Macaca mulatta: one gene and its partners. Each later gene encodes a partner of the first gene's protein in a complex. Links are inferred from orthologs where the notes say so. Each region holds a gene or a part of one and is shown on either strand. Other genes may lie near its edges.

Region 1 (5,465 bases):
CTTCCGGGGACACAAGGACCCAGTGGCCAAGCCCAGCAGCACACAGCTTGATTCTGGCCACTGGGAGGGTCCTCAGGGCCTCCCACCTGCCCAGGCTAAGGCAACCAGGCCAGAGGAGTGCTGCAGGGCCGGGCCGGGGCATGGCTACCCCACACAGCAGCGCGAGGAGGCACACAGACCCGGTGGGCAGCGGCTGCTGCGGGCCTGGGGGCCATAAAGAGAAAGACCAATCCCCAGTTACCACAGAAACTGATGTTTGTTTGTTTTCCAACACATAATTGATTGTTTTGCAGACTGGGGGAATAAATCCAGGGGAGCTTCACCTGTCCCACTTTGGAGCAGAGAGAAGAACTACCATGTATATTTTTAGCATGCAATTTAGTAAAGGTAGAAAACCATAGGCCAATTCATTGCCGGGAATTAGGTTCCCACAGAAACTGACCCTTGAAGGTCATTCTCAGGAAGGTCTGGAGAGGAAAAACGTGGGTGTCCCATAGTTGAAGGGGCAGCTTTTTCAAGTTCCGCGCCCCTCCTTCTGAAGACCGCCCACAGCCAGCCTCTGGCAAGCTCCGGTCACCTGTGCAGCAGTCTGTTCCCTACAAGGGCCTCAACGCCCAGCAGTTGGGAGCCAGGACTGAAATCTGAACATTTCAGGCTCTTAACCTCTGCTCTACCCAACAGCTGCCTGAAGCCAGAAGCACTGAGTGGCAGAGGCCACCGATCCTAAGCCCCTCAAAGGCAGAGGCCACAGGGTAGCCAGGTTGGGGAGCATAAGCTCCAAGCTGCCACCACACAGCAGGTACTCTGGGCCCCACCCCAAGGCCCATCTGTCAGCCACCACCAGTTCTCAAGCCCCTAAACTCAAGAATCGGCAGGAGTTCCCATCACCCACCAAATCAAAACCAAAGCCCACGGGCCTCCTGCCTCCGGCTCTTTGTCCCAGCCTCCTGCAACCTCTGATTGCTAAGGCATCCCAGGGAATTGCCAGACTGCTCCAGGAAGAGCTGCTGCTGGGGCACTGGGGGGTGCAACAGTGGCTAAGAAAGTAGGTCCTGCAGTCAGAAAGCATGGGGTTCAAATCCCAGCTCCACTCCGTGGCTGTGTGATTCTGGCAAGTGACTTAACCTTGCTGTGCCTATTCTCACATCAGTAAAACAGAGGTAAAAGAAAGACACCTCTCTCCCAGGGTAGGCGGTGCTCAGTACAGCCAGCTACTATTACAAACGTGGGGGAAATGCGGACATACCCCCACACCTCGGGCCTCCCGCATCCTCAGACCCCTCCTGCTGGTATCAAGCACTAACCCAGCACGAGGGTCCCGAACCCCCAAGGGTGTGAACACGTGTGCATGAGTGTGCAGGCATGCATGGGACGGCCCCTCCAGCAGATCAGGCAGATCTCCAGCACTGGGAGCCCTAGGCCCCTTCCTTATGCCCCTGCTGTGCCCACATGTGGTCCTGCACAGCAGCCCCAAGGCAAGGGCCCTGGTGCCCTGCCCTGCACCATTTTACAGAGCAAAGTAGCTGATGCGGCCCAGCCCCAGTGATGGGCAGGGAGGGTAGCCAGCTGCAGGCACACACCTATGGTTCAGGATTCGGTGAATCATCATCCACTCTGGCTTGATGCCATAGCGGTAGAAGCGCTCCTCCATCTTGGCATAGAGGGGGTCCTTGTTCTTCCTCTTCTCGCTCTTGCCATCCTCATCCCCAGAGCCGTAGTCAAAGGGGGGCGGCTCATCCATGTCATTCTTTCTTTGGTAGTTGCGATACATCACCGTGTGGTACAGCTCCAGCTGCTCACAGACGGGCACGAGCCACAGAAGGGGGATGAGCCATGGCCCTCTGCGTCTCCCTACCCAGCTCCCCTAGCCCCAGGCCAGCACCACCCCAACTCCCAACAGCACCCCTCAGTCAGAGGCGCTTCAGCCCCTTCCCGCCAGCCCGGGAGGGTCCAGGGCTCACCAGGTCCTGAGCCTTGGCACAGCCACCCTGCTGGGCACTCACCTGTAGCTCCTTCACCCAGGAGCAGTGCCAGTAGGACAGCCCTGCCCACTTGACAAAGAACTCTCTCTCAGGGATGCCCTCCAGGGGCTTGGGTGGAGGGAGGCTGGGCTCCACGTCAGGCCCAGGCAGCCCCACCATGAAGGGGGCAGGGGGCTCCGTCCACCTCCAGTGTAGAATCCTCTGGACTTTGCCCTTCAGTGGGGGACACTGTGGACAGAGAAGGGTCCCCAAGGTGGGGCTCAGCTGCAGGGCCCCACCCTGAGGCTCCCATGACAGCAGGCTGCCACGCAGGCTCCCTCCCATCAGTGCCACTGTCCCCAAGTCAGAACAGCACCACCGTGACGCCATGACATCCACCCCGTCCTCAGGAGCCGCATGGGTCATGCACACAGGAGACGGGCAATGGGGGTCTGGGAGACCACGTGGCCCTTTCACTCAGTGGTAAACTCATCGGCACCCAGAATATCTGAGCCAGGGTAGGTAAGACTGCCATATGCACACGACAGAGGGGGAAACTGAGGCCCACTCGGCAAGGGACAGCAGAGCAGGGAGCAGAATATGAAGTTCTGGACTTCCCCTACCTTAGGTCTTCCCATTGTACCCTGAAAAGAGGTCACATCATTGTGTGACCCCCAAGCACCCAGGGAGCATGAGCCCCATGCTGGAGCTCAGGGACATGGCAGCCTCCAATCCGCCATCCCTCACCTGGGGCAGGGCTGCACCCAAGCACTGTGCATCTAGGCTGGGACAATGAGGCCCCATTTCTGGCAGCCCACAGACACACTGCACGGGCCCTGACCGATGCTACGGTGACAATGAGCTGCTGGCTGGCAAAGGCGAGAAATGCAACCGCCACAAACCCCACCACCTGGGCCCTGAGATGGGTGGGAGCAGCCTTGGCCCTCCAAGGAGGCGGTGCTGAGCCTGGCTGGACAGGGTCAGGGGTGACTGATTCAGGGAGACAGCTCGGTTGGGGACAGCAGGTCCCAGCTCTGCTACTACCTGTCCTCGGAAACTTGTCCAAGCCTACTGAGCCTGCTTTCCCATCTGTAAAATGGCCCACCCCTTCCTCCACCTACCAGGTTTGTGGTGCCACATCACACCTGAAGGCATTCTAGAGGTGCAAGGTATACCACATAGCCAGCCTTCTTTTGGCCTTGGTGACAGCAAAGGCCAAGAGGCAGAGGAGGAGGAGGACACGGGAGGTAGGAAAGGCTCCTCCGCTGGCTCTGGGGGGAGTGGAAGAGGGGACCCTCCCACCGCATCCCAACTTCTCAGGGAAGAAGCTGAGAGGAACTCCACTCCTGCCTCCCTCCCATCCCCAGGGCCTTCCATGAATCCTAGGAAAGCACAGGAGGCTGCACCCCTCAAAAGGGTCCTTCCCTGACCCCGACACAGACACAGACAAGTATGCGCGCGGATGCACGCACACACACACACACACACACAGCACAAGCCCACATGCACACGGGACGGCCCAGGGCTAAAGGCAGCACAGCCCAGGACCTGAGGGGTGGGGGATCTGGCACCGCGGGGCGCAGGGCAGACAGCTCAGAGCAAGGGGCCTTCTCATGTCTACTGTGATTGGGGGATGAGGGATGGGGGTGCCTCTCTTCCTGCAGAAACTGATGCTCTGGCCCTAGGACCCTCCTACCCTCTCCCTATCCCCAGCCTCGGAACAGGAGCCAGGTCTGGGGTGGCTCCAGGGACCTGAATCTGAGGGACAGTTTGGCCCTTGTGTGGCCTTAGGCAGGTCATTCTGCTTCCCTGAGCCTCAGTTTTCTCATCTGAAAAGGAAATAACAAAATACGTGGTGCCAGAATACTCAGTAATGTTAAAGGATACTATGATGGACGTGGAGCCCTTGCAGAGCACGTGGTCACTGAACAGTGGTCGTGGTATTGGCATGATCACCACAGACCTGCCTGCCTTTCCCTAACACTCATGCCTCCCGTCTCTAGGGGTGTCAGACACGGAGCGGGATTTGGGGAAGCTAGAGTGGGCGTGGCCTCGAGCGGCGCGGGCGGAGCTTTGCGGGATCAGCTACCGAGGCGGGTCCGGAGCCGGCAGGGGCGGGGCCTTTTGAGGAGGGCAGGCCTTCCCCTGGGGGCGGGGCCTGTTCCTGGGGTGGGGCGGGGCGTCCGGCGCGGGGCGGGCGGAACACTCACAGTACAGCGCGGGCAGAGCCATTCACCGTTTGGGATCTCGGGCAGTGGCGGGTTGAGGCAATGCAGGTGGTAGGAGGAGGGGCAGGCATCGCAGCAGAGCAGCTCGCCCCCGTCCTTGCACACGCGGCAGAACTCCATGTGATCATCCTCCTCCTCCTCGCAGCCGCCCTCCTCCTCTTCGTCGTCGTCGTCCTTTGGCTCCCACTGGATCCCCTCCTTCTCCTGGGGGAGGAGGCCAGGTGGAGGCACCCTGGGCGGGGTCCCCGCTCCACCAGGGCCTGACTCCCTCCCTCCCCCACAGCATTTCCCCGCATTCTGCCCCCAAATGAGGGCACAGGGGTGGGGGAGCCAGGCGTGGCCCCGCTCCCAGCCCGGGGCTCTGCCAAGGCTTACACAATGGGGGCAGCTCCACTTGCCCTCGGGAGCCTTCTCCAGCTCTGGGTCCAGGCACACGAGATGGTAGGCCCTCGGGCAGGTGTCGCACAGGATGATCTCCCCACCTTGCTGGCACACCTCACAGTAATCCTGGTGGTCTGTCTCATAGCCGTCACCATCATCAACTAAGGTAGGGGAGAGGCAGTCATGGAAGGCCTCATCCGCACTCCCAGAACACAACCAACTGCACCGCCCCAGGCCAGACAGCCACAGAGTAGATGCATAATAGATGGTGGGTGGATAGGTGGGTGGATGAGTGGACTGACGGTTGAGGTTGTAAAAGGGTAAGGAGATAGAAGATGGATAAAAGGAAAGAAGGAAGGAAGGAAGGGTAAGAGAGTGGGTGGATGGGTAGAAAGATGAATGGATAGATGGATGAATGGACAAATGGATGGATGGATGAATGGATGGACAAATGGATGGATGGACGATGGATGAACAAGATGGATGGATGGATGGATGGATGGATGGATGGATGGACTGATAGATGAACAAATGGATGGATGGAGCAATGGATGATGAATGGACAAATGGATGGATGGATGGATGGACTCATAGATGAACAGATGGATGGATGGACAAATGGATAGACGGATGGAGAGATGGATGATGAATGGACAAATGGATGGATGGATGATGAATGATGAATAGACAAATGGATGGATGATGAATGGACAAATGGATGGATGATGAACGGACAGATGTATGGATGGATGGATGGATGAACAAATGGATGGATAATGGATGGACAAATGGATAGATGATGGATGGATGGACAAATGGATAGGCGGACGGATAATGGATGGATGGATGGACAAATGGATGGACAGATGAATGGATGGATGGGCAAATGAGTGGA
Region 2 (5,900 bases), on another chromosome or scaffold:
CCAAGGCCACAGGCAGGTGGGTGGAGAGGCCCCTGGGCCGGTCAGAGGAGGGAACGCAGTCCAGCCTTAGACTCCTGGGGTAGCCACCTCAGCTGGGCCAAGGCACGTCCCATTCTAGGGGACAACTACAGGTTAGGGGGATGGTCCTCACCCTTCTATCCTCACACACTCAGGAAGACCACCCAGTCGCCTCCAGGAAGCAAGTGTATCATCTCCAATGAACAAAACAGGGGAACCAGCTCATCTTGGCACAAAAGAGTCCAAACAGCATTTCCCAGGATGCAGATGAGTAGGAGGGCACATCGCAGGTGCCGAGCCTCCAAGCCAGTGGGGAGACAGAGGCCGCACCTGGGCCACCAGGACCACAGCCATCGGCCATGGCCCCGCCAGAGCCTGGAATGCATTCCCTTCTCTCATCCTCCCACCCACAGGGCCCACCCCCCAGAAACCCTTTCCTCCCACCACCACTGGGAGCCCCACAGCAAGCACCCGGATCAGCGAGGCTGGGCTCCCGGCAAGCCCGCAAGCCCAGACCACCTCCCCTTGGCTGCCTCCTCCCAGAGCTGCACCAGCTCCCTGGGCAAGGTCCTCGCCTCCTCCCTCCTCCACCGCCGCCTCTGTCCCCTGGCCTTGCGCTCTGTCCTCCTGTCCTCATCTTGGTCCAGCTGCTCTGCCTCCCCACGGCACTGCCTCCAGGCCTCACGGGCCTCCTGCCTGTCTCGGCGCCGCCGTCGCATGGCCAGAATGTGGCACTGCCACTCCCGGCTGCGCCTCTGCCTGGCCTCCCGCAGCCACCGCTTCTTCAGCTGGTCCCGCTCACGGGCCCGCACCTGCTTCTCCTTCTGGGGCAGGACGGCTTGGCGGGGCATGGCTGGGGAGCCGCCCACTCGGCAAGGAACAGGCTCCGTGGCGACCTCAGAACACTGGCACTGGGGCCCAGCCAGGGAGAGCATCTTCCCGCTGGGACCTTCGACAGGGCAGCTCATCCCTTGGAGATGTGGGGTGCAGCTGACATGGTGGCTACCCCATTCCTGCTGTTCCCCAGCCTGGGCTGGGGGTACTAGGATCACCCTTGGGCTGATGAGGAGCCCAGGTCTTGGGCAGTTACCAAGTGGGGGTCACAGTCTGGAAAGTGGTGGAACCAGGCAGCGGCCTCGCCTGGGCCACACTCTCAAACACTGGCCCTCAACAAGAGGCACCTTGGCTCTCGAGACAAGGCCACCTCCTCTCTGCTGGGCCCACGCCCGTGGAGAGCAAGTGGGAACCGGCCGTTTTCTGTCCCAGCTTGGAGAGCCAGGGTCAAGGCCAGGCCTCACTTGCCCAGGAAAGAGAAGTGAGGAGACCCACCAGAGGAGCGCGTGGGGTGGGGGCCGCAGCGCAGCTCGGGCTGCTGCCCCTTCCTGGTGCTCTCCTGTCCGCTCCACCTCACACGTCCCTGCGAAACACAGTCCCCAGTGCCCTCCATTCTGATGTGTTCTGAGCCGGAGCCCAGTCAGGGCCTTGGGCTGAGAAAGCTCTGTCCCATACTTTCTGCTCCTTCGTCTCTTCCACCAGCTTCTCTCCTCTGATGGTGGGGAGCATGTCTCCCCCCAGCCCTCCCACCATGCCATCACCCCCATTGCCATACCTGGGTGTAGCCTAGGGATGGTGGCCCGTAGTCACTGAGCAGCTGGCGGTACTGTGAAGACGCCATGCTGGTGGAAGGAGAGTGGACACTCCCAGCTGTGGGGTGGGGAGAGAGAGGCCAGGAGTCAGCTCAGCCAGTTGTACCAAGGCAAGGACTCCAGGTCCTGCAATGGCCCTTGCCCAGGACCCACACCACCAACTGTAGCAGGATAGAGAACCCTGCTCTCCACCTCTAGTCTGACCAGTGTAGAAGACGGATAATGAAATGTAGCTACAAGGCACTCGGCCATCCCCAGCTCTGTAGCAGCTGCTGGTCCTCACAGAGCTCCGTCCTGTCCAACCAGAACCTTCCAAGCAGCAGGGCTGCTCCCAAAGATAAAATTACTGCCACTCCTGGCCTCATCCCTGCCCATCCCCTCTCCCTGTGTCCTGGCCCCAGAGGATGAAAACCTAGAGGCCACATCATACCACAAGAGCCCACTGCCATGGAGGCTGGTCCAAACCAGCGGAGCTTCCAAGCCTTTTTGTCCTATGCACCGAAATCTCTGCTGTGCTCAATGACGGGGAAGATGGGAAGGCCTTAGAGTATTTGAGACCCAACCCTGGCTGGAGACAGGCATGCTGGACATCAAATTAGGAATCTAGAGAACACCACGGCCTCTGTGTGCCCCAGATAAAGCCCCTCAACCTCTCTGTGCCTGTCTCCCCCTCCCCAAAGGGGGACCAGACTCTTGGCAGTCTATGTCCCAACGGCTCTGCATTCCAAGAGAGGAGGGTTGAGGCCCCACATATGGGATGCAACATTGGGGCCTGTCCAGGGCTGCAGTCAGTGACCAAGCAGGGCCCAGCCCAGAACGCAGCCTCCTGGATCTGGGAGGGGAGTCTGAGGCTGGGAGCACGCGGCCCCGCAATGGCGTCCCAGTGGCCATTAGCGGGTAAAGGATATCCTGCAGAATGACAAACAGCGGTAACCATGGAGAATTTACCTAGTCCTCCTCGGCAGCTGCCCGCCTGCCGCCCCCAGAGCCACACGGTCTCTCTCTCACACACACAGCGGGCGCTGCAGACTTGGCCTCGGGGATGGACAGCTGGTGCCAGGCTGGCCAAACCCACCAGCTGCTCACTTGGTGTGGGTGAGGGGAGGGGCAGAGGAGGAAGGAAGTTCAGGGCCTCAGGCTGGGGGAGCCGGGAGGAGCCCTGGAGAACCCTGGCTCCAGGCCCCTCTATTTAGAGACATGGACCTGAGGGAGTTGCCCCAGGGCACACAGCATAGCACCTGCCCCTCCATGCAGGGAGCCAGCTACCTCAGCACCTGCCCCTCTGTCCAGGAGCATCCGGGAGCGGGGACAGTCCCGAGTTGTCTCCCTGAGTCTCAGGCCAGCCCTGGATGCCACCACTGCAGCCCAGGGTTATGCTCCAGCTTGGGCTGGACCTGGAAACGTGGACTTGGATCCTGAACTGGGCAAAGCACCATGCCACTCCGAGCCTCAGTTTCCATGCCTCCCACATGGGGATGACGAGACACGTGTGCTACAGGGATGGGCGGCTTGGGATGGGGAAGCACTACGCCCGCGATATCCGGCACGTCCACGGCCACTGCAGGAATTGGGCAGGGCGATGTCCCCCAGCGCCCCCTCACCACATCAGCCAAACCCCAGTTTCCTGAGCTTCTGATGTGGCAGCAAGCGTGGCATGGGGAACACAGGCTCTGCTGGCAGAGACCTGGGTTTCGATCCTGGTAGCTACACCTCTCTGGCCTCGAGGGCCAGTCTCTGGGAGGGACCATAGAGCACAGCACCCTGGGTGTTTGCAAGATCCCAGCAGCCTGGCAGGAGGGGCGCTAGCCACTTCCCACGCACCCTCGAATCAACTCGGTGTGCCCCCGTCCTCTTCCCCAACTGCTTTGCCCACTGCTCCTCACCTCTCCTTTTCTGTCCTCCCCACTGGACTTGGCGCCAGCCCCAGCTGTGCCACTCCTGGCTGTGTGACCTCAGACAGGCCCCCCGCCCTCCAGTCCTCAGTTTCTCCATTTGTTAGAGGCAGTGCTTCCCAAGAGAAGGTCTACAGGCTCCAGACCCTACTATTTGATGATACTGGGGTTAGGTTTTGCGGGGCTGAGAGGAAGGAGGAATGAGAAATTGTCCCATTTTGGCTGGGGGGACAAGGAGCAATAGCTCGGTGACTCCAATGCTCTGTCCAGGCCAGTCCCTTGTTCAGGGTTGAGTGGGGGGTGTCTAGTCCTGGAGAGAGATGGCGGAAATGCCCCGAGTTCCACTCATGGTCACTCCTTCCTGCAGACACAGGGACCGGGACACAGGGACCACGTCAGCGCAGGCCGTCTCGGCGCATCTCAGACAATGAGCGCAGTGTGCAGGAGCGAGGGGTTGGCAGAGGCCAGGAAGCTCCTGGGGCCAGGCGCGGCTCCCCGCCCCCACGCCAGACAAAGAGCGCCGGGGCCTGGGGAGCTGGCGGCCTTCCCGCCACTTGGGGCGCCTGGGGGGCTCTGGGGCGGGGGAGGCGGGGGCTTTGTCTAACTCCGCCACTGCCACCACCGGCCAGGCCGCGGCTTGGCAACCCGTGAGCAGGAGGCAGGGCTGCAGGGCGTGAGGGATGATGACAAGGAAGCCGGAGGAGCAGCGGCAGCAGCGGAGAGTCCATCTTGGATGCAAATGGCAGGAGGGGAGCTGGGGTTCTGCAAAAGGGTCCATGGGGGAGAGGGAGGGGCACCAAAAAGCCCAGATCTGGGGATCTCGGCACTCCTGAAATTCTCCACAGAAGAAAGAGAAGAAAAGCTGAATACAGGTGCAGCCAGCTCAGAACAGGACTTCAGGGGTCCCCGTGAGTGCCGCTATCCCTGTGACCCCAAACCCTGAAGGTCCCAGTTTAAGGCCCCGGCCCCAATGACACCAGGTCAAGCCTGAGCTGTCAGCCTTGCCCAGGCTGGCAACACCAGCCCCTGCCCTCCCCACAGGCCAGAGGAAGAACGCTGCTGGCAGTCCTACCTGGCAACAAAGCCCGTCTTTGTAAGGTCTGCGGACCCCAGAGGAGGTGAGAATGTTTGAGAAGAAAACAGTGGCTGTTTGCTCTTTGGGACTCCGAGCCCACAAGTGAGCAATTCAACTCTCCCTCAGCACCCTGACGATTAACCCTTTCCTGCCCCTACACCTCAGTGTCCAAGGTTTTTTTAAATATCGTTTTTATGGGTCCTACTTCGGATGTGGGAGGTTTATGAAGTCAACGTTTGCAAACAAGGCCCAAAACTCGAGCAGGAGAGCCAGCGTGGCACCGGTGACCAACGGGGCCACTCCTTTCCCTCCGAGTCCTTACCCCCCACGCCCCGCAACACAACCGCCTTTTGGGAAGTCTGTTTCCGACCAAGTGTCAGAGAAGAGGGGCCCCAGTGAGGTCACAAAGCCCGGCACCTACCAATCCCTCAATGTTGCGCCCACTCCCCATGGCTCCCTCGGTCCCCTGGGCTCAGCCCGAAGCTGCCTGACAACTTCTGGAGGAGTTTCCTGGGAGCGCCCGGCTGCCGCCGCAGCCCCAGGAAGGTCGAGGGGAGCCCCTCCCGGCTTCTGCATCGAGGGCCTTCCCGGATCAGCCCTGGGGGCTCCCAGATGGGGCGTCCGCGTGACCCCCTGCCCCCACGCCCGCGCGCGGGCCCTAGCAGCCCCAGGACTGCGCCAACTTCGTTCACTCCGCGCACACCTTACGGGGATCCCCGCGTGACCGCATGGGGCAGTCCCTGCTCCCACGCGCCCGGCCGAGGCCCCCCGGCCTCCGAGTCCGCTGCCCACCGGCGACCCCATCCCGGTCCCAGTCCCGGCGGCCCCGCGACCTCAGGGCCCGCGGCAGCCCCGCAGCCCTCCGCCCGCGCCGGCCCGCGCGGGGCCTGGCCCTGCCCGCAGCGTCTCCCGCCCGGGCCGCTCCACGACCCCGCTCCCCAGGGCGGCGGGGCCCCGCGCCCCGCTCCCGGCGCGGCCCGGGCCGCTCCCGACTCCCGCCGGCAGGGGCCCTCGCCGAGCCGCCCAGAAGCGGGAGGAAAAAGGAGACGAGAACAAGCCTCCCCCGCCCTCGCCCTCGCCCGCCGCGCTCCCTGCGATCCGCAGCCGCCGGCGCGGGGGTCACCCCAGGCCGCCCGCCCCGCACCCCCAGCCAAGGCCCTCGGCGTGCGGGGCGCACCAGCGAACTTTGGCGGCGCGGGCTCGGAAATCATGGCGGCGGCAGCGCTGCCCCGGGCCGGGACCCTGAGCCCCCCGCCCCCGGCCTCCGCT
Region 3 (6,070 bases), on another chromosome or scaffold:
CATCATACCCGGCTATTTTTTTTGGTAGAGATAGGGTTTCCCTGTGTTACCCAGGCTAGTCTTGAACTCCTGGACTCAAAGGATCCTGAGGTCTCAGCTTTCCAAAACGTTGGGATTACAGGTGTGAGCTACCACAGACAATTTAGCCTAGTCCAGAATTTTACAAATTCCCTTCAAATTTTTTTTTTTTTAAGGAGTTTCACTCTTGTTGCCCAGGCTGGAGGGCAATGGTGTGATCTTGGCCTACCGCAACCTACACCTCCCAGGTTCAAGCAATTCTCCTGCCTCAGCCTCCCGAGTAGCTGGGATTACAGGCAGGCACCAACACACTAGGCTAATTTTGTATTTTTAGTAGAGATGGGGTTTCTCCAAGTTGGTCAGGCTGGTCTCGAACTCCCGACCTCAGGTGATCCACCCGCCTCGGTCTCTCAAAGTGGCTGGGATTACAGGTGTGAGCCACTGCACCCGCCAGCCAATTCCTTTCAATATTATGTTCCCTAGCTTCCTCTTTCTCAACCTGGAAGAGGAAAATATTAATTCACTAAAAAGAGAAAAATACACATTATGACTCTAAACATAAAAAGGGTCTGAGTTACATAAGTCAACTGCTCTTTCAGAGGCTCTAAGCAATTTGAAAATATCTGCAGACTTTTAAATATTCAGTAACTAAAAAGCAAAAGCATAGTCGGAATTCAGAATCCTGCATAACTCTCTAAAATCTCAACTTTCTTTTTTTTTTTTTTTTGGAGACAGTATTTCGCTCTGTCACCCAGGCTGGAGTGCAATGGGGTGATCTCGGCTTACTGCAACCTCTGCCTCCCAGGTCCAAGCGATTCTCCTGCCTCAGCCTCCTGAGTAGCTGGGATTACAGGTGCATGCTACCATGCCTAGCTAATTTTTTTGTACTTTTTTGGTAGAAACGGGGTTTCACCATGTTGGCCAGGCTGGTCTTGAACTCCTGACCTCAAGTGATCCACCTGCCTTGGCCTCCCAAATTGCTGGGATTACAGGCATTAGCCACCATGCCCGGCCTAAAATCTCAACTTTCAAAGAGTCTGGGACTGAAAGTAAAACCATCTCTTATGCCCTTTACCCCATTCATTTTTATTTATTATTATTATTTCTTTTTTTTGAGATGGAATTTCACTCGTTGCCCAGGCTCGAGTGCAATGGTACGATCTTGGCTTACCACAACCTCCGCCTCCTGGGTTCAAGCGATTCTCCTGCCTCAGCCTCCCAAGTGGCTGGGATTATAGGCATGTGCCACCATGCCCGGCTAATTTTTTTGTATTTTTAGCAGAGACGGGGTTTCTCCATGTTGGTCAGGCTGTTCTCGAACTCCTGACCTCCGGTGATCCTACCACCTCGGCCTCCCAAAGTGCTGAGATTACAGGCATGAGCCACCGTGCCCAGCCCTATTTTTATTTTTTATATTAATTAAAAAAAAAAAATAGGCCGGGCGCGGTGGCTCAAGCCTGTAATCCCAGCACTTTGGGAGGCCGAGACGGGCGGATCACGAGGTCAGGAGATCGAGACCATCCTGGCTAACACGGTGAAACCCCGTCTCTATTAAGAAATACAAAACAAAAAACTAGCCGGGCGAGGTGGCGGGCGCCTGTAGTCCCAGCTACTCGGGAGGCTGAGGCCGGATAATGGCGTGAACCCGGGAAGCGGAGCTTGCAGTGAGCTGAGATCCGGCCACTGCACTCCAGCCTGGGTGACAGAGCGAGACTCCGTCTCAAAAAAAAAAAAAAAAAAAAAAAAAAAAAATAGAGATGGGGTCTCACTATGTTGCACAGGCTGGTCTCAAACCACCCACCAGGCCTCCCAATTTACTGGGATTGCAGGCATGAGCCTCCGCACCAGGCCACCCTTTACCTAATTACCCGTTAAGGGAAAATAAATATTTTTTAAATTAAAATTAAGAACACTCAGTGTATATACCTTGTTGAGTTCTTCTATCCTTCTTATTAGGTATGGGTTGCTGGAGGAATTCTCAAAGTAGACATAATCTGTAATTAAAGGAAGTACAGAACTTAATATTTTCAACAGAAAGTTCAGATTTGTCAATCCAAGACTTTTTATGTTAGGCAATTCACGTTTGAAATTAAGCTCATAATTCATTCACTGGTAAAAGCAAACATAATAATGCAGCCTTAATATATTCTCTCATGTGCCTACTATTCACGGACCTTTATTTTCTTGGCATTTTCATTTCAATTAATGTTTCATCAGTTTCTCCTAGACTTCTGTCCCAATATGTCATTTCTTTAATAATAAACAAAAAAGACACCTCTTATCACTGGGTAGTCGGGGCACACTAAACATGTGTCCTCTGTACTATAACTACTTCCACATCTTTTTCCTCCAATACAATTTGCCCTGGAGGCTGCTTCTCACATAAAACTATTGACCTAAGACACATTCAGAGCATGGAGAAAGGCTTCACAGTCCAACCTACATTTCAATCGCTACTTAAAAAAAAAAAAAAAAAAAAAAAAAATCAGATGAGCAGAACAGGTAAGAGGAAGAACACTAACAAACTTTTCCACAGCTCTACCTGGGAAGATGAGGGAAAAAGCGGGTCAGGGGGATCAATTATAAGAGGCAAAGTGCCCTGGGGGTGATATCACCATCTTTTTTACCCTTTTACCATATTTAATCCAGATCCATTTAATGTCTTGTGATTAAGAAATTGCTGCAGGCTTTCAACTAAAAAGATAACATTTTTCAAGTGTGGCTTTTCCTCTCATCTGATAGGCTCGCTGGAAACTTCCCACTGTGTGTTTATCTCAAAGGCAGCTGCATTGTTATTGTCTATCTTAGTGGCTCTTTCGCCGCTGTCTTCTGCAAAGTGGCCTCATTTAGCCAGGCCATTCCCACCACCATCCATCAGAAGCTCAGCTAATGAGCGGAGAAGGAAGAGCCAGTCTCTCATACAAACACGCCACTTATCTGAATTATTATTTTACCAGGAAAGAGGGAGGAGGGCGTCGTGAGTAGGGAGAAAGTTTGTTTGACCTTATTTCTCTCTTCCGCAGACTGGGAAGGAGGCAGGCAGCAGAGCAAACGTCCAGGCAGAGCTCAACTCCCCACCTCCGGCTGAGGTTCCCAGGTCCCACGAAGCCCCATTCGTGGGGGGCTGGACCAGAAACGAAAGGAGGGGGGCCGAGGAAGGCGAGGTGCAGGGCCCCGGCAAGGTGCAGGCCCGCAAACAGGCCTGTCCAGCTGGGCCCCTGGCTGGGCCCCCACCGCCCCCACCCCCACCCCAGGCTCCCACTGAGTGGGGAAGAAGCAGGGGAGGGGATGTCCCCTCATCCTCTCCAGCGCCTAGAAGCCACGCGAGAAGGCCACCTTCTCAGGGGGCTCGACGGGCCCCACCACCATGAGGGTTTCGTGGAGGGAGGTGTCTGGTAATTCGTACCCCCAAGTAGAGGCCTGGCCCTAAACACCTGGCGGGGTGCGAGGGTGAAGGTGGCCCCGGCCCCTCGCGAGCCCCCGTGGGGGGAGGGGAGGGGTGGGGTGGGGGTGGGGAGTCCTGGCCCCTCTGCGGGCCCCGGCGCCCCCGCCCCCTGCGACCTCAGCCCCGGCGCCAGTGGCTCCCGGCAGTTGGCGTGCGCTCGCCCCGGCCCCCCGGTCCCGGAGCCCGCTCCCACACGGGCCGGGTCGGGCTGAGCCTGCCTACCTCCGACCCGGTACATGTTGGCCGCCATGTCCGCCCGCCCGCCCGCGGAGCCCGAGCCGAGCCCCGCCCGCCGCCGCCGCCACCTCCTCAGCCTCAGCCTCGACCGCCGCTGCCGCCGCCGCCTCCGCTGCTGCCTCGCCACGGGGGGGAAGGGAGGGAAGGGAGGGGACAGGGGGAGGGGGAAGTGAAGGGGAGGGGACGCCGAGGGGTGGGGGCTGGTGCCCGCCCCCAGCGCCAGGCTAGCGAAGCCTAGTGGGCCGGGCCGGGGGAGGCCCGGGGAGGCCCGAGCGCTGCGGGACCAGCGGGAATTGGGGGGGAGGGGGAGGGGGAGGGGGAGGGGGAGGGGAAGGAGAGTGGGAGGGAGGGTGGGGGGCCTCGCTGGAAGTGGAGGGCCCTGGAGCCAGGGTCCTGGCCGAGGCAGAGGCCTGCGCTCAAATGCGGACCAGGGGCAGTTAGAGAATTAGAGTGGGGGCTGGGGCTCAGCCTCTCCCCAGCACCTCTTGCCCCACCCAGTGTACCCCGTCACCTGTCCACCCCGAGACAGGTCCTCCTTTCCTACCTCTGTCCCTGGGGACCCCCCCTGGGGCTGACCTGGTAGGCGAGCGCCAATCTCAATGCAAACTCTTGGACGCAAATAAGTACAGGCAGCAGGGTGCCTTCCTCGTGGTGAGATCCAAGGGGCCGGCCTGGAGCCTGCAGGCTCTAGGGCCAGGAAGACCCTGGGTGCTTCCCGCCTCGCCAGAGACCCGGCTGGGGACAGAGGTTGAAAAACTCCCTTCCTAGGCTACCCTAACTGCATCATCGTTCACCCCAAAACTGGGCTGAGCAGAACCAACTCTCCAACACCCAGATGGAGGCCCTGGCTCTAGACAGGCCCTATATATGCAGGGCCTGTTCTGCTGGGACCTTTAGGAGTGGGGGGCTTCCTTTGTCCATGGGGGAACAGGGCCCTACAGTTCACAATCACCACCCCCAAAAAGAGGAGATTCTGTTCAATCAGCTTGATATGGATGGACACTTAGCTGGTTATGTGCCTAAAGCTTCTAAATGATTATTGTCCCAAGCCAATTCTCTAAACAACCTCTGTTTTCACGGCCTTCCTACTCTCACAGAAACAAAACAAAAAAAAACCAACAACGTTGAATCTTAGCTGGCTATCCCCCAAACGAACACAAATAACTTTCTTTAGAGAAGCCAGTCCATTCCAAAGTACTCCCAGACATTGGTGCATAATAAACACGAAGAGGATTTCTTGGTGTGGTGGCTTGTTTGGAATGTCTGGTGATACACAGCTGTGTGCTGTCGACTCTGGGTTTGACATCTGTGCGGGGCTAAGAGGTGCCCCCAGAAAAGAAGGTTGTGTTTCGGTTGTTTGGTGATAACATTTGTGATGGTCCCTTATCACAGAGTATTGAGGTGAAAAAAAAGTTATGCGTAGCTGAGGCAAAATATAAAAATAAAAAAGAAAGCACCATTGAATTACATTGACTCTATGACCTGTTTCCTCGTCTATAAAATGGGAACGCGAATTCCCCCTTCACAGGTGTGGTAAGGATCAGTTGTGATGATATCTGAAAGTGCTTTTTAAACCAGGGAACACAGAGCACCGTGCAAATAACAGGTGTCTCTTGCTTTCTTTTTAACCCCAGGAAACCACAGATTCCCAAGGGTTCTCTGCTGTGTGTCAAATTCTGAGCCATGTGTCAAATTCTGACCCAGAGAAGAAAGCAAAAGTGTTCTGTTCTGCACATTGCATAGCTGTCATTCAACATTTACCAGAGATCCCACCAAAAACATTCTGACAAAACTGACATCACTCCATTTCTGAGCTGACACATAAATAGGTTCAATAATTCACCTGGAATCACACAGTAAACTGGCAGCAATATTGGGATTATAAATCAGCCCTTTTCTCTGGCCTAGAATGTTCTGAACCACAGTCTTTCTCCAAGTGCAAAGACCATCTAGAAACCATAAAGTGCATAGAAGTGGATCACAAGCTTTAGGGTGTTTTCCCATTAATTTTTCATAAGCAATTTCTCCTCCTTCAAAATCTTGCCCTGTTTTTGTTATTTCATTGTGTGCCTGTCTCATTTCCCCAGCTTAGTGCTCTTGCCAGGTGTTTCTGATGACTGTGCTAACCACAATAAATGGTGAAAGATGCCAAGAAAACTCCCTACGTCCCCTTAGGAACAGCCTTATCCAGCAGCACCCCATGAAAGACCTCAAAGACTTGAAGGGGACTAGCAGGAGGTAATGATGGTGGCAGTACTTGGAACTGTTTTTTACTCTAGATTCTCTATGTTAGTCTCTTCCATCTCCAGCTCCTAGACCAATGTCCTCTACATTTCTGAGCTGACATAGTAGATGCTCAGTATCTGAAGA
Region 4 (6,164 bases), on another chromosome or scaffold:
GTCTTGTCCTGTTGCTTACCCTCTGCCAAGCGATCTGGGATCTCAGCTTGATATTTGCAACCAACTCTAATCTCGCCCTGATCAGCTAGAAGTGTCTTCTGCACAGGGTCAAACACCAGTGAGTAAAAAAAGCAGTCCTGGAGTTGGGGAGAGACAAGGTAAGCAGGGCAGCAATCCACATAGGCGGCAGGGAGGGAGGTGTATCTGAGTTTCCATGACCGGCAGTCTGGCAACCCGGTACCTTTTCATTGTCCTCCTTTCCCCCTCCCTTTTGTGAGCAATACCCATTCCCCTCCCTCTTCTCTCAACATCTCTTTCTCACCTCCTTTTCCAGGTACTGGCTCAAGATATCTGTCTCATTCAAGAGGGTCACACTGCATTTCCCCCTATAGAAGACAGATCGGAAAACCCCGGTGAGCCCCACTCTCCCTCCCCACAGCATCTCTGAAGACCACCTCCTTCTCTCCATCTTCTACGTAAGTGCATGCAGGCTATTCTGGCCCCAGTTGTCCTGTACCTTATGTGGGTGGCTGGTAATGATTCAAATTGCCGAGAAAGAAAAAGTTCCCGGTGCTTCAGTTGATGGCGCTGCTGCTCAGACACCCCTGGCTGCTTTGATTCCTCTTCAAACTCCCCTGGGAGATTAAGGAGGAAGAAACCAAGTCAGAAATGGATCCAGCAAGACACCACCCTGGAAACTCTAACTCAGGGAAAATATTTGCTATCTTGGCTGTTTTTTTGTCACATTTCCCAGGTGTCTGCCTTCTATGCCTTTATCCTACCAGCTTTCCTTCTTAGCTGTATACCCCATCATGGATGCTCCCAACTCTATCAGTAATGCTCTTAGGGAAGAACTGCTGAGAGTACGAAGAATGCTGTAGACATACATCGCTACCCAGCTGCCAATGCTCAGACACCAAAGTCCACAACAGGCCAGCAAGAACATTACATTTGTCTCTTGCTAAACCAGCCTGAGGTCCAGCAACCCAGTAAGATGAAAAAAAAAATCACACAAGACTGTGTTTACCAGTTCTTTTCAATTTCAGGAGACTCTTTGCACTAAAACATCACATGCAGCCCTAACTATCCCTCATTCTCTACTTGGCTAATAATAGTTCCTAGGGTTTTCAAGGACAACACCTCTCAAGCTAGTGCCAACATCTTCCTCCTGAAAGAGCTGCAGCTTGCCCTGAAACCTAGTGGAAGGGGTTAATCTGGCTAGGCGCCAACCAAAGTGGGAGGGGGCAGAAAAGCCTCAGGCCCAGGCTCATTGGTGCATTGTTCCCAACCTCAGGGAGAAGGGGGGGTTGTTCAGTAGGCTCCACCCCTCGCTTGTGTGCTCCGGAAACCCTGTGCTAAGGCAAGGGGGACCACACCCCCAACACCCCTTCTGATTGGACAAGGCCAAGGTCAGCCCCTGCCAGATGGGGCTGGAAACCCTAAAGGGCCAGGGAACTTGGTTAGCCAGGCTCCTCTTTAACCCCTTCTCACCCAGAGCAGTCTGAAAAAGGAAAATGATTTAGAAAGGTGGAACAAAAGGAAGGAAAAAGAAAACCAAAGCAGGAAAGGAAAAAGCAGCTAAGGAAAATATTTTTTTTTAAAAAAAGAAAATGAGACCTTAAAGAGGATGAAAATAGAGCAAAATGAAAAGGGAAAGATGTAAAATGGGGGGTGGCAGGTGGGGAAATGGGCAAGGTGAGAAATTAAAAAGTGCAAGAAAACTTCCAGCCATCTTCTAACTTCCAGGTATTCTCACCACCTTGTGATTACAAAATAAGGCTGCTTCTGTTATGCGGGCTTCTCAGTACAATCTCTTCCTCTTCACCTTGACCTTCAGTCACCACCTACTGTCCCAGTGTACCCCAAACTGCCCCCCTTTAGAAAAGCATTCTGTTTCTCTAAACCCCGTCTTCATCCCCTAAATCAACCTTATCGTCTCTCTCCTACTCTCATACACAAACCATATCACAATCTCTCCACCCTGCTTCCAACCCCAACGTGTAAAAACAGGTCTCCCTCCTCAGGCCAGGCATTTCCCACCCTCAAACTCACACCTCTGCCTTGGGCATGCTACCAGGGGAAATACCTGCAGGGACATGCGCAGGCCTCAGATCATGGGGAGGGGGAAAAGAAAGGGATGAAGATACTCACTGGCATTACTATCAGCCAAGCTGTTGAGGCTACTAGAAATGTCCCTGCGCCGGAAAAGACAGACGACCTTTGCCTCCACATTTCCATTTGCAGTCTAAGGGGAGGAAAAAAACAAAAACAGAAACAAAACAACGTAGCAGTGAAAATTGATCATCTGGGAACAGAAATACACAAAGAGACAAATAACAGTAAGTTTCAGAGGGACCTAAATTAAAAAGCCCAAGAAAATATGAGTAAACACTTACATTCAAGGACAGACTTCCAAATCCCTTTCCTTTGCCCCCAAGAGACAGAATAGTAAAGTTCCTGCTAAGCTCTCAATAGCCTTTCCTGAATACATCCAATGAATGAATGAATGAATATGAATGGGTACTTAGTATAGGGTCCTCTCTTCCACCCGAAGTTAGAAACCTCAGAAGAGACCACTGGGGGAGGGAGGGAGAGAGATTCTGCTCCACTCACCTTGTTGAGTTCCTCAATCCGTCTAACCAGGTAAGGATTGCTGGAGGAGTTCTCAAAATAGACGTAATCTGTAAGGGAAGGGAGGGGGGAGAACCACGAAGATCAGAGGAGATGGGAGAGACGCAGAGCACCAGAGTAGGAGAGAAAGTTGGCCTGAGTGGATCAAAAGAAGATAAGGATTCAGGCAGAGAGCGCGCTGAGATGTGAAAGTGTAAAGACTAAGAGAAAATAAGGATGTCCCCCACCCCCACCGCACCTAGTTCTAAAATCAGATCCATTACTCAAAAGTGAGCCTTAAGGAACAGGCAAGAAGCAGGGATTCCCCTGCAGTCCCCACAACTCAGCAACGAGTTGCACCTCAGTCGCGGCGAAGTAATTGTTCGCTCTAGCGCAGGGCCCCCACCTTTTCGAACTGAGGCGCACAATAACGCCTGGGAAGAGGAAACCTCCGGGCGGCTCCTCCGCGGTGGCAAAGCCGTCGCCCCAGCCCCTCGCGTTCCCTCCCCACCCTGTCAGCTCCTTCGGAACCGGTTTCCGAAGCCCACTCCGTGCCCCGAGGAGCCCCCGACGCAGCCCTGAAAGTGCCGTCGGGGCTGCCCGCAGCTTCTCTCCAGGAGTCTCGGCGCCCTGCCGCGTCGCGGTTTCCCGCACCCTAGCTCCTCGTCTCCCGGTTCCGGTTCCGGTCCGCGCTCCGGTCCATGCCGCCCCATACGCTGCGCCTCGCGCCACCCGGTGCCGAGCCCCTCCGGTCCCGACCACAACCTCTCCCGCCCCGGACCCTGTACCCCTGCGCCCGGTACTCACCTCCCACCCGGTACATGTTGGCCGCCATGGCCGTTCCCGCCGCCGCCTCCGGCCGCACAAAGGGGTCCGGGAGGCTCGCGGGGGCAGGGCTCGGCTAGAGGCAAAGCCCTGAACGGTGGGCTGGCGCTTCGAGGGAGTCTCACTGGGGCCCGCGCAGCCGTCACCTCCGCTGCCTCAGCCGTCGCGGTTCATCCCGGCCCGCGCTGTCGCCGCCGCAGCTATCGCCTCACTCCCGGGACGCTGAGGCTGGCCCCGGTCCGCTCGGCTTCTTCCGGAACGAGCTCGGCTCCTGCCAGGCTGCAGCTGCCCCCACCCCCGCCGAGTCCCACTAGTCGTTGAGCTCTGCCGGCCGCAGGGAAGGCTTGCCCGGCCCGCCTCAGGGTTCGCCTCCTTCCGTAACACCTTCGGCCGATCCGGAGAACAAGGCCCACTGCTCGGCTCAGGTCGGAGAGCGAGACCCCGCAGATCGGCTACTTCCGGAAGAAGTTCGGCTCCTGTCGGCCAATCGCTCGGCTATTTCCGTTGCAGCTCGGCACCCCCCCCACCCCTTTTTCCGAGGGCGGGAGAGGAGTGGGGCTTAACTCTGTCCTAGCTGGAGCCCTGCAACTCCTCCTCCCGCCCCGAAGACTCGCGCGCCTTAGCGCTTCGCCAGGTTATTTGCAAGCGGCTTTGCCTGTTATTTGCATAAATGGTCTACGCTCCCTTGCCCTTTCCGCACGCCTCTTTTCCTTCGTCCCCACCCCACAGGGCCCCGGAGGCACCCAGCAGCGCCCCACAAAAGCACCGGGAGGCGACTTTGGTTCTGGTTTATTGCCCCTCAGCAGGCAGCGGGAGTCAAGGCCTAGGTTGGGGCTGCCCGGCTCAACCAGCGGGTCTAAACAGTGTGTGCAGGGGCGCCGCTCGCGCCCTCCAGGGAAATGCACCGTCGGGAATGTTTCGAAGTCAGTCGAGGAAAGAGTCGGCCCCTGGTCGTGGGGGATTAGGGCGGGGCAGAGCGGGGCGGGGCCACGCCGCCAGGCCAGTAGGTCCCGCCGGCAGCGATCAAACGTCGAGGGAGGAGGCGGGGGACAGGGAGGGGGTTCGAGAGGGCGTGGCAGGCGCCGGCCCCGCGCCCCCAGCGCCCAGCACTCGCCACTGGAAGATGCTGGCGTCCTTGCCGCCCAGCGAGACAAGGTGCGAGTCGTCGTGCGTGAACCGGACGCTGGTCACGTGGCTGCCGTGGCCCCCGTACATGCGGCTCGGCGCCTGGGCGGGAGGGAAGACTTGCAGTGGCGGCGGAGCCCTCGGGCCCACCCGTCCCACCCCGGCGGCCCCCGCGGCCTCACCTTGGCACGAGCGCACGGGTACTGGAATAGATGCACTTTGCAGAAGTCGTCGGCCACCGCCACCACGCGCTCGTTGTGGGAGCGGCACAGGGAGTTGATGTCGGTCCCATCGGAGCCGTCCGGCCACACGCCTAGCACAGTGGCCGGCCTCAGCCCGACCTCCTACCCACCGCCACCCACGGCCCAGAGCTACACCGTTTCAGGCGCTCCGGCAGCCGCAGCCACCCACTGTCGCGTTCCAGGAAAGCCTTCCCGGTCCCGAGGGCCGGAGGGGCCTCCTGGGCTGGATCTTCAGGTTTCTGGACTCTCACCCAATGACACACGCCCAGCGTTCCGAGCCCAAACTGGGCTCCACCTTGTCCCCCACCCCTCCAGCAGGGTTCCACGCCCCTGCTCACCGTAGACGTGGAAACCCAGCACACAGGTGTAGGTAGCCCATTCCCGGTCTCGGCTCTCATAGCGATTCTTCAGCTGCTTGCAGCCTCCAGCCACGTCCCCTGGGGAGAGGGAGCCCGCCCAGCTCAGCTCTCACGCTGCCCTCAGTAGGGAAGATGCCAGGAAAAGCCAGATTGGAAAGACTGGCATGAAACCCAGCGATGGCATGTGATCTGGTCACTGTAGTAGTGACCTCCTCCCCCTGTGAAACCCACCCTGCGTGCGTCCTGTCCTGAGCACTGGCTGAAGTTCTAACAGCTTCCATGAGTTCCTCCTCCCTAGATAAGTCAAGTCCTTCACGCTTGCCCTGAGAAACTTCTTAGAGCATTTTTCAGCTCCCTCAAGTCAACAAGACATGGTGTGAAACTCGTTGTTTCCAAATCACAAAATTTCTATGTATAATTCCAACTCCACTTTAACCCTATCTCCACTCCCTTATCTGACAACACCTCTAAGACCCCCCTACATAAAACCCACTCCAATTACCCTCTCCCCATGTCCTGCTCCACTGCCACTCACAGTAAAGAATCTCATAGTCCCCAGAATTGGACATGATGAAATTCCCATCCTTGGACCAGTCAAGATGAGTGATGAAGCTGGAGTGACCCTGGGAGCAAAGGTCAAGAGTTTTAAAGTATCCCATCCATTTCCCATCCCCAGAGCCCCCTTGATGCATCAGACCCCTGAGTTTCCCAGCTGTTATCATGCCCCACCACACGCCCCAACTTCCTCACCATACAGCGGCCAAAGCGGCTGGATTTGGCACCATCACTGGAAACACTATAGATGTAGATCACGTTGTCATGGGAACCAATGGCCAGGTACAACCCATCTGCAAATACAGTCACTCAGAGAGGGAAGGGCCAGGGACACATGTGAGTCCAGGGTTGGGGTGGCTCCCACCTGGGCTGTACCGGACCACTGAGAGCTGCTCATTGCCATCAATGACATCAGACACGATCTCTCTGGTTTCTGTGTCCAAAACCA

What was found. Proteins that work in one complex are often made in the same cells at the same time.
Region 2: CHD5 (region 1) and CDK2AP1 share a complex: the UniProt entries of both Homo sapiens proteins name them as parts of the nucleosome remodeling and deacetylase (NuRD) repressor complex. The link is inferred for Macaca mulatta from reciprocal best matches to the Homo sapiens genes CHD5 and CDK2AP1.
Region 3: CHD5 (region 1) and MTA3 share a complex: the UniProt entries of both Homo sapiens proteins name them as parts of the nucleosome remodeling and deacetylase (NuRD) repressor complex. The link is inferred for Macaca mulatta from reciprocal best matches to the Homo sapiens genes CHD5 and MTA3.
Region 4: CHD5 (region 1) and MTA2 share a complex: the UniProt entries of both Homo sapiens proteins name them as parts of the nucleosome remodeling and deacetylase (NuRD) repressor complex. The link is inferred for Macaca mulatta from reciprocal best matches to the Homo sapiens genes CHD5 and MTA2.

What each region holds. Positions count from the first base shown.
Region 1 is NC_133406.1:234,647,697-234,653,161, reverse strand, and holds part of CHD5 (chromodomain-helicase-DNA-binding protein 5), read right to left. Parts: intron 4,732-5,465; coding exon 4,565-4,731; intron 4,394-4,564; coding exon 4,172-4,393; intron 2,211-4,171; coding exon 2,004-2,210; intron 1,793-2,003; coding exon 1,581-1,792; intron 1-1,580. UniProt on the Homo sapiens protein: ATP-dependent chromatin-remodeling factor that binds DNA through histones and regulates gene transcription. May specifically recognize and bind trimethylated 'Lys-27' (H3K27me3) and non-methylated 'Lys-4' of histone H3.
Region 2 is NC_133416.1:130,671,963-130,677,862, forward strand, and holds the start of CDK2AP1 (cyclin-dependent kinase 2-associated protein 1), read right to left. Parts: upstream 3,724-5,900; 5' UTR 3,657-3,723; coding exon 3,548-3,656; intron 2,767-3,547; exon of another isoform or gene 2,613-2,766; intron 1,723-2,612; coding exon 1,628-1,722; intron 1-1,627. UniProt on the Homo sapiens protein: Inhibitor of cyclin-dependent kinase CDK2. Also acts as a component of the histone deacetylase NuRD complex which participates in the remodeling of chromatin.
Region 3 is NC_133418.1:82,261,305-82,267,374, forward strand, and holds the start of MTA3 (metastasis-associated protein MTA3), read right to left. Parts: upstream 3,724-6,070; 5' UTR 3,714-3,723; coding exon 3,686-3,713; intron 3,362-3,685; exon of another isoform or gene 3,022-3,361; intron 2,013-3,021; coding exon 1,945-2,012; intron 1-1,944. UniProt on the Homo sapiens protein: Acts as a component of the histone deacetylase NuRD complex which participates in the remodeling of chromatin.
Region 4 is NC_133419.1:11,463,250-11,469,413, reverse strand, and holds the start of MTA2 (metastasis-associated protein MTA2), read right to left. Parts: upstream 3,724-6,164; 5' UTR 3,446-3,723; coding exon 3,418-3,445; intron 3,300-3,417; exon of another isoform or gene 3,017-3,299; intron 2,682-3,016; coding exon 2,614-2,681; intron 2,246-2,613; coding exon 2,152-2,245; intron 636-2,151; coding exon 518-635; intron 387-517; coding exon 323-386; intron 138-322; coding exon 20-137; intron 1-19. Other genes in the region: EML3 (echinoderm microtubule-associated protein-like 3), read right to left, coding at 4,459-4,662, 4,743-4,873, 5,141-5,239, 5,697-5,784, 5,912-6,009, 6,081-6,164. UniProt on the Homo sapiens protein: May function as a transcriptional coregulator. Acts as a component of the histone deacetylase NuRD complex which participates in the remodeling of chromatin.